Linked DNA regions of Caenorhabditis elegans. The protein of the gene in region 1 purifies or fractionates together with the protein of each later gene. This does not show direct contact. Each region holds a gene or a part of one and is shown in the gene's direction. Other genes may lie near its edges.

Evidence for each region.
Region 2: the proteins of Y37F4.1 (region 1) and Y59A8B.12 fractionate together in Caenorhabditis elegans (co-fractionation; one large-scale study listed by BioGRID). This does not show direct contact.

The regions. Positions count from the first base shown.
Region 1 is NC_003279.8:10,856,219-10,861,315, forward strand, and holds Y37F4.1 (BAR domain-containing protein), read left to right. Parts: upstream 1-1,868; 5' UTR 1,869-2,427; intron 2,428-2,590; 5' UTR 2,591-2,773; intron 2,774-3,293; 5' UTR 3,294-3,329; coding exon 3,330-3,401; intron 3,402-3,462; coding exon 3,463-3,741; intron 3,742-4,028; coding exon 4,029-4,167; intron 4,168-4,214; coding exon 4,215-4,401; intron 4,402-4,442; coding exon 4,443-4,551; 3' UTR 4,552-4,580; downstream 4,581-5,097. Other genes in the region: Y37F4.2 (Sec-independent protein translocase protein TatA), read left to right, coding at 1,302-1,402; Y37F4.5 (START domain-containing protein), read right to left, coding at 5,041-5,097.
Region 2 is NC_003283.11:18,085,186-18,087,988, reverse strand, and holds Y59A8B.12 (MATH domain-containing protein), read left to right. Parts: upstream 1-1,764; 5' UTR 1,765-1,770; coding exon 1,771-1,895; intron 1,896-1,941; coding exon 1,942-2,173; 3' UTR 2,174-2,280; downstream 2,281-2,803. Other genes in the region: slr-2 (Synthetic with Lin-35/Rb), read right to left, coding at 345-468, 517-620, 666-781, 827-856.

The DNA.
Region 1 (5,097 bases):
TGAGATTTGAGATGTTTCTGCCTTCTTCCTATATTATACTGTAGGAGTACTGTATGTGATAAACGGTAGGGTACTGTAGGTGGTAAACGGTAGGTGTACTGTAATTTTTTGTTCAAAAACTTTTTTTTTCCCTCTCATAACTTTGCCGTCGTTTGAGCTATTCTGATTCTGAGCCAAATATATGAAACCTTGAAGATTTCTTAAGCGAGAGACGAAAAAAATTTTGAAAATCGAGTCATACATCACAGAGATAATCGACCGAATAGAAAAATAATGCCTTTTTTGATTTTTGATTTTTCAACTTTGAGCGTTTGTTAATTGGTTTGTTTAAGTTTAATTTTAATTCTGTTTTTTTTAATAGACTCAGAATTTGACGCTGAATTCAAATATGTAAGATTTTTTTCCAGCTTTAAAAATGAAAAAGTTATGAAAAAAAACTAACATTTCATCTCCTCATCAAAGTTTTCGAAATATCTTTTATGTTTTTACATTTTCTTTTTAAAATTGAAAAATCTTTTCAGCATATTTCTTTCATCTTAGAGAAACTGAAAATTCAGCGCCCAGGGCGCTAAATAATTATTCAAAATTTTTAAATTAGAAACAACTCCTTAGCATATTCCATCAATCTTAGAAATAGTTCAAATCAGCGACGAAGGCGCTGAATAAGTCTTCAAAGTTTTAAATTAGAAACAACTCCTTAGTATGTTTCTTTATTTCAGAAACTTTGAAAAATTCAGCGCCGAAGGCGCTGATAACTCTTAGGAATTTTTGAATTTAGAACAACTCCTTAGAATATTTTTCTAATCTTAGAGAAGATTCAACTTAGCGCCCAAATAATTTTTAAGAATATTTCAATGTGAAACAACTCCTTAGAATATTTCTTTAATCTTAGAGGAACTGAAAACTAAAGCGCCGGAGCCGCTAAATGATTTTTCAAAATATTAAATTAGAAACAAATCTTTGGAATATATTTTGAATTTCAAGGTGAACACACTTAACCCCAACACAGGTTTGAGGCAAAGCCGAGAACCTGCGCCAGCTACCTTGTTGATACTTTAGAGCGAAATAACCCTATCCCCACTCCCGAAGGGATAGCGCACTTTGTGCGCTAGTCTTAAAAATTTTTTTTTTAATTGAAGGTTTACAAACAAATTTGAACTTTTAAAAAGCTTTGCTATGTAGGAAAAAGGATACTCAATTCAAGAAATGGTATGTAGAAAAATCGATTTAAAAAAAGTTTTTTGATTTTTGATTTTTAATTTTAAAAGTTTAGTCCCAATAATTCAATAAAGTTTTTCCAGAAATAGAGCAAATTCGAAAAATAGCTGAGCTAATGGGCAATCCAACGGAACCGGACGAAGTTTCGGATGAAAAAGACGATAGTTCTGAATCAGACTACTAGTTGCTGAAAAAATAATTTATAAGTTTATTTTAGTCACATTGTTGATAGTTATAAATATTTTTTTGAAATAAAAAAAACCAAAAATGTGTTTTTTGCACTGAAAATGTTGCGTTGGCTCAGTTGCAGGGTAAACCCATCAATTCATAACTTCAGCAAGAAGTCCAAATTGTGTTAAGTTCGAGATCCCTTTAGAAAGCAATCTTGCACTTATTTTACTTTTTCTTAAATCTACAGTTCAAATTATTAAACAAAAATATCTGAAATCAAGAAAAGTTTATCTTCACGGATGCTGAAAGTTTATAGACTTGTGGAAGTGTTCTATGATCACTTCTCATGTTGCACTGAGTGGACTTTGGAGACGTGCATAAAGCGCATGACTCTAACGCCCACGCGGCCTCTGAGCAGGGAGCGTCACGCCCTCACGAGTATATAAGCCGACTAGAGAATAACATCCTCAGTCGAGAAAGACCTTGCCTGCTGGCGCCGGACGAAAGTAAGACTCTCGTCGTCTGGCACAGCAACGACTCAATAAATGCTTTAGCACACAATCAAAGTGTTTTTGCATGATGTTTAACCATAAGCTGTGGCACCGGTTTATGACCGTTAACAGACTCCTCCAGTATATAAGGTTGTCCAAACAACTTAATTTTTCATATTTTGTGCAACACTATCTTGCTGAAATGAAAGAAACCGGCCCGTGTTGTTACATTCTGCTCATTTTAATTTTTCCGCCAATCGCCGTCTACGTGAAAGAGGAAAGATGCTCTCTGTCAGTTTGGCTCAACCTTTGTTTCTGCATCCTCTGCTGGTTTCCGGGGGTGCTTCATGCTATAGTCGTCTGTTTCTGCTTGAATTATTTATTTTATTTACTTACTATCAAGAAATGAATTCTTGAGATTAATTTATTTAGAAGAATATAATACTGAATTACAATTAAAGAGAAGAAAAGGGGAAGATAGCGGTCTACATCTAGAAAGGAAGCATTGGTATTATATAATATAATATAAAAGAAGGAACTTATATAGGTCTGTTTTTAATCGAATTATAATGATATTGGGGTTGGCGTGAATCATATGAATAGGAAAAGAAGGGAAACGTTTTGGTTTGAATCATAAGGATCAAATATCATATTCAAAGAGGGAAAGATTTGACACTTACATACAATTAGATTAATTTTTCCATGTACAGATTATCTCAGACCACAGGATATGTAGTTGCTGACTAACATTTCACTGCTAATGTGTAAGCGGCCACTGATTGAATATTGTGGGAGAATTAAAATTTGGACTCTGAATGAAATTGCTTCATAATAAAGCAAAAAGTTATCCAAATTTCTATATTTATCATGTTTTTGGATACTGTAGTTAAAAGGTATAAACGCTTTATATTATATTTTAGTTTTCAAAATACATATATAGGGAAAGCCTCATGCAAATTTGTCTAGAAAAATGATTTGAAATTGTTCAAGAAGTATGAAAATGTTAAAAAGCGTACAGTTAAACAAATTTAAGATTTTGGAATTTGTCAATCAGTAGGTTTATATTAATCTTAAAAATGATAAAATCTGCAAACCCGGATTTTAAAATAATATAATAAAAAAATAATAAAAATTTTAAATAATATAATACATAAAACTATAGAACAATTTCCAGAGAACTGTTTAGATTTTTTGTTGAATAGAAAGTTTCCACAGAAAATTTCAAAAACCGCCTTTGGAGCAATTTAACTGGTAAAACACGGAGCTAATAGTAAGCAAAAATTTCAAATTTTTTCACAAAATTTCAATCACAAATATTTTCTAAAAAATGTTAAAAATAAAACAAAAAATTACTAATTTAAATTGCTTTGTTACGTGACACATTTTATGATGACAAACATACTTGTTTATCAGACATGAAATCTCAATCTCAGTTATTTTATATTTTTAATGGCAAACAAGAAGAGTACGAGTAGCTGCTATGAAAAGCCAATCGCTCAGAAATTATTTTATGGATTAGCTGTAAGTTTTTGGATGCCTCCGAAACCGAAATCCGAAACCGAAAAAAAAAGAGAGTTTTCAGGACCATCCAAATCACGGTGTATTTTCGTCGATTCTGAAGAAAAAGAATCGCTTGTTTTCGATGACTGATGACGTGAAGAAGCTTTGCAATCAAGTTGAAGCTTATAAAGAAGCCGCAGATCGACTTCATCAGGCACTGATTCAAATGTTCGTTGAGAATCAGGAACTTATGAAAGCTGATACGAATTATCAGTACGCTGGGCAGTATCTAAAGACGTATCAGGCGATAAATCAGAAAGGAAGAAAGTTGGGTACGAAGGTTGACCCCAAAGAAATGGATGTGAGTTTAGTTGCAGAATTGATCAGAAAAGTGACGCGACATTCAGTTTCTAGAGCGAATCCTGTTGAAAATCGAGGAAGTTGGAACGACTTTTTTGCACCTAAGAAATTTGGTATATTTTCTAGGCTTGGATTTTTAGGCTTAACAATTTAGGCTAAGGGCTTTTAAATGTTAAAATGTAGGCTTAGGCTTTTCAAATAAACCATTTAAGCCCAGGTAATCAGGCTTAGGCTCCCCAATTTTTTGGCTTATGGAATGGCACCTGATAATAAGGACACAAATTTCAGAGCTTAGAACCGGCTATCCAAACCTTGCTCAATCTGGATTCCATACAAGCAAAGCAAGTCCAAAGGCATCTGGAAAACTTGTCGGCGTTGACAAAATTCATTGGCGTCGACTATTGGGAGTACGCAAGGCTTCGAAAGAGTAAGAATAAAAGGGTCTATAATATGAATCTAAATAAAAAATTTCAGTTTATTGGCTCTCGCTGGAAACCTACGACGACGCAATCAGTCAGCAGAATAAGGAGCGAACGGAGCAAGCCGAACTCGCGGCGGGAAATGCTCAGACATGGAGGAATGAGTGCAGACAGAAGGTTATTGACTTTATCAATAAGTCGATTAATGAGCAGAAGGGGAAACACGCGGATGCAGTTTTGAAGTAAGTTTTGGAACTACTCCCCGAAAAAAAAAAATTTTAAGGTTTCGTGACGATTCAATTCTCTTCCACAAATCCATTGCTGAAGCTATCCCAATATTTGATGATAGAGCACTGCCAAAGAGTAAAGAAAAGCCATTGAAATCCAAATGAAACTTGTCCGAATAAAGAATTATGTGATTTTTATTGCTTGCAACTTCAAATGTGTTATATTTGATTTTAGTCATCAGTTTACAGCCACATCAGCCACAAGGCACCCCTGATTCCACCAAAAGGTGCGCGGCGATTGCCGACGGGTAATTCTACAATTTCAGGCAGAGATGTGTTTTCCCAATATTTTTCATTAAATTTTAGTGAAAAGATGTAGAAACTATGTGATCTCTCCCATAATAACGCAATTGCCGCGCAACCCGGATTCTATCCCTCTCCATCGCCTCAACATTCGCCCGCTATTTCACTTTTTTCGAATGGCATTTTGGAAACGTTTTTTGAATAGCTAAGGTTGCTATGGGGTGGCTCATCACGTCCCACACAACACCCCTAGCTTTAACAATAAATTTACGCTGAAAACAGAACAGAAATGAATCACATTTTATTCTCTCAAGTGCTATAGTCTACTTCAGTGCTTCAACCTTCTCGACATTATTTCTCCTTTTTTCCATCTTTCTTCTTATCCAATTTGTTTGACTTGCAAGCGAC
Region 2 (2,803 bases), on another chromosome or scaffold:
ATCTGGAAATTTTTGCGGTTTTTTCATTTTTTTCACCTAAAATTTCGAATTTTCTTCAGTTTCCCGCCAAAAATAGAAAAAAAATAATATGAATTTTGCCATTTTAAGCTGAATTTCCCGTCGGAAACGGGAAAAATTGCAGATTTTATCGACTTTTCAGCCATTTTTTCACCGAATCTCGGCTTTTCCGCGAAAAAAAAAGGGAAAATTGATGAAACTCCTGGGTTTTACGTGTAAAATCAGTGCTTTCTCGAATTTTTTGGGTGAAAATTGGCCGAATTTTTCAATTTCCCATGAGCTTTGAGCCATTTTTCATCGATTTTTCCAGGTTTCCGTCCACTTACTGGACATGCTGCTGATATCCAGCAGGTTCCATGTACGCATCATCACAATAGGGACACCGATATCCCCATTCAGCTTTTGGAGTGTGATTTCGGAGTTTATGACGGTGTAGAGTCATTTGGGAGGCTGAAAAATCAATTTTTAGGCAGTTTTTTCGCGAATTTCCGCCAAAACCTGCAGCATAAACGCAATGTTCACATTGAAATGGCCGTGATTTGTTGTGAATATTCATATGCTCTGTATAACTCCGTTTTGACGATAATTCCTTCCGGCAAACTCTGAAAAAATTGAAAAAAATTCGATTTTTTCCAGAAATTTCTCACCCGCAGGTCCAAGTCTGCTTCATTGTCCTTCCATTCGAAGTTTGTCGGAATTTTTGAGTCGTCGGAAGTGCCAAATTCGATGGTCCCGGCTTCATGATGAGATGTTGCCAGTTTTCCTGAATTTCTGGATTATTTACGGAAATTCCCAGGTTCCGACTCACTTTACTGACGAAATGCTCACTTTTCGACATTTCCGGTGGTCTGAAAATCAAGAAAATCGATTTTTTCATCAAAAAACTCGAAAAAACATTGGAAAAATGAGAAAAATCCAGAAAAAATGACGAAAAACCGAGGAAAATAGGCGAAAAATTCAATGTCTCGAAAATAATGCAAGTGCGCTCCATTGGACTCGAAACGGTGAAATGCGCGCGAAATTCGAATTGGAAGAAAAATTTCGGTGGATTTCAGAGGTTTTCAGAGGTTTCAAGCTACCAAGAAAAAAAAATACACTTTGAACATTAGAAAATGTGTGGGAATTTGAAAAATAATTGAAAATCACTTTAGAAGCCCGAAAATTAAAGAAAATCGTCAAGAAAGTGGATTTTAACGAACAAATGACGAAGAAATCTTGAGAATTTCAATTTTTACGTATCATTTCAGTATTAATGTCGATTAATAAACATTTTTTGCCCAATAAAGTCAATTTCCAAGTTTCCAGCGAATAATCTCTGAAAATGCACAATAGGAAAACACAGAAAATATATAAAATTTGTCGTTTTTATTCATATTTTACAATAATCTTCAAAATTAGATGAATTATTCAATAAAACACGCTAAAGTCAAGCAGATATTCCTGCAAATTAAATTCAAATTCAAATTTCCCGCAGTTTTTTCAAAAGTACGCAGTACACCGCGACGCAAAAATGCACAAATCATCATTTTTTCGAATTCGGCGGCGCATTTTGAAAAAAAAGTCTTTTTTGTCCGTTTTTCAGCGAATTTTTTGCTTTTTCCATAGTTTTTTGCTTTTAATTTGAAAATCTACGCTAAATTCTAGTAAAAACTGTGCAATTTGCCACTTTTCCCCCCCTGAAAACCAACATTTTTGAGGTTTTTTCACCTTTTCTCCCAAAACTCGAGTAAAAATTTGAATTTTTCAGCAAAAATGGCCGATAATGGGAACGAGGAGGACCGAAACGGCTACATCATCAACCGAACTCGATTTGCCGCCGATTTTCACAACAGAAATGAAGATTTATCGGAATGGGAAGAGATGCGAGGCATCGAATGGTACTTTTTATGCCAGAAAACTCCCTGAAAACCTTAATTTTTCCAGGGATCTCATTCTTCACAGCGACGGAGGCCAACTTTACACACAGCTGGTCACTCGTTCTCGGCTACAATACGAAATCCCATGCAAATTCCTGCTGGAAGCTCAATATGGACAAGTAAAAGTCGGAGAAAACTTTGATGTGACAGTTTCTTCACGGAATCATACATTCGGAATGCGAATTGACCAACCTGCTGACAATGGAGCCATCAAGATTACTGCTTATATTGATTTCTGAATTTCCACTTGAATTTATGCAATTTGTGATATATTTTTAATTGTAACTATGTGTATACTTTGAATTAATTTCTTATTCTGTCGATTATCAGTGAAATATTGAATTTTAACCAATTTTATGATTATTTTCTCAAGTTTTCCGTAAAGGAAATCAAATATTTCGAAATAAATTCTGTTGGAGTACTGTAGTCGGCGAAGTACGCAATATCAAGTGTTTGCGTACTCGGCATTCTAATTGACGAGCTTCTGGCTCATTTTTAGATTTTCTTGGTTGTTTTTCACTTAAAAGTAGAGATTAACGTTTAAAGTGCGATTTTTTTGCTAATTTCTGCTGAAAAATAGAGTGTTATAACAAAATGTTTCTTTTCGTATGATTTTTCTCTTATTCTTTTCAATTTTCTGGCAATTTCCCTTGGTAAGAACATTTTCGCCAGAAAAATGACCGATAATTTGGAAGAAAAAATGAATTCGTTGAAAATGTAAGAATTTTACGGTTTAAATTGCCACATCTACTGATAAATTGAGTGGACTGAAATTATGAGAATTTGACGGATTTTCAGTGAATTTAACTAAGAAAAAATACACTTTCTCGAATTCAAACCTAAAACTTTTTTTTCAGCTCCAACACGGC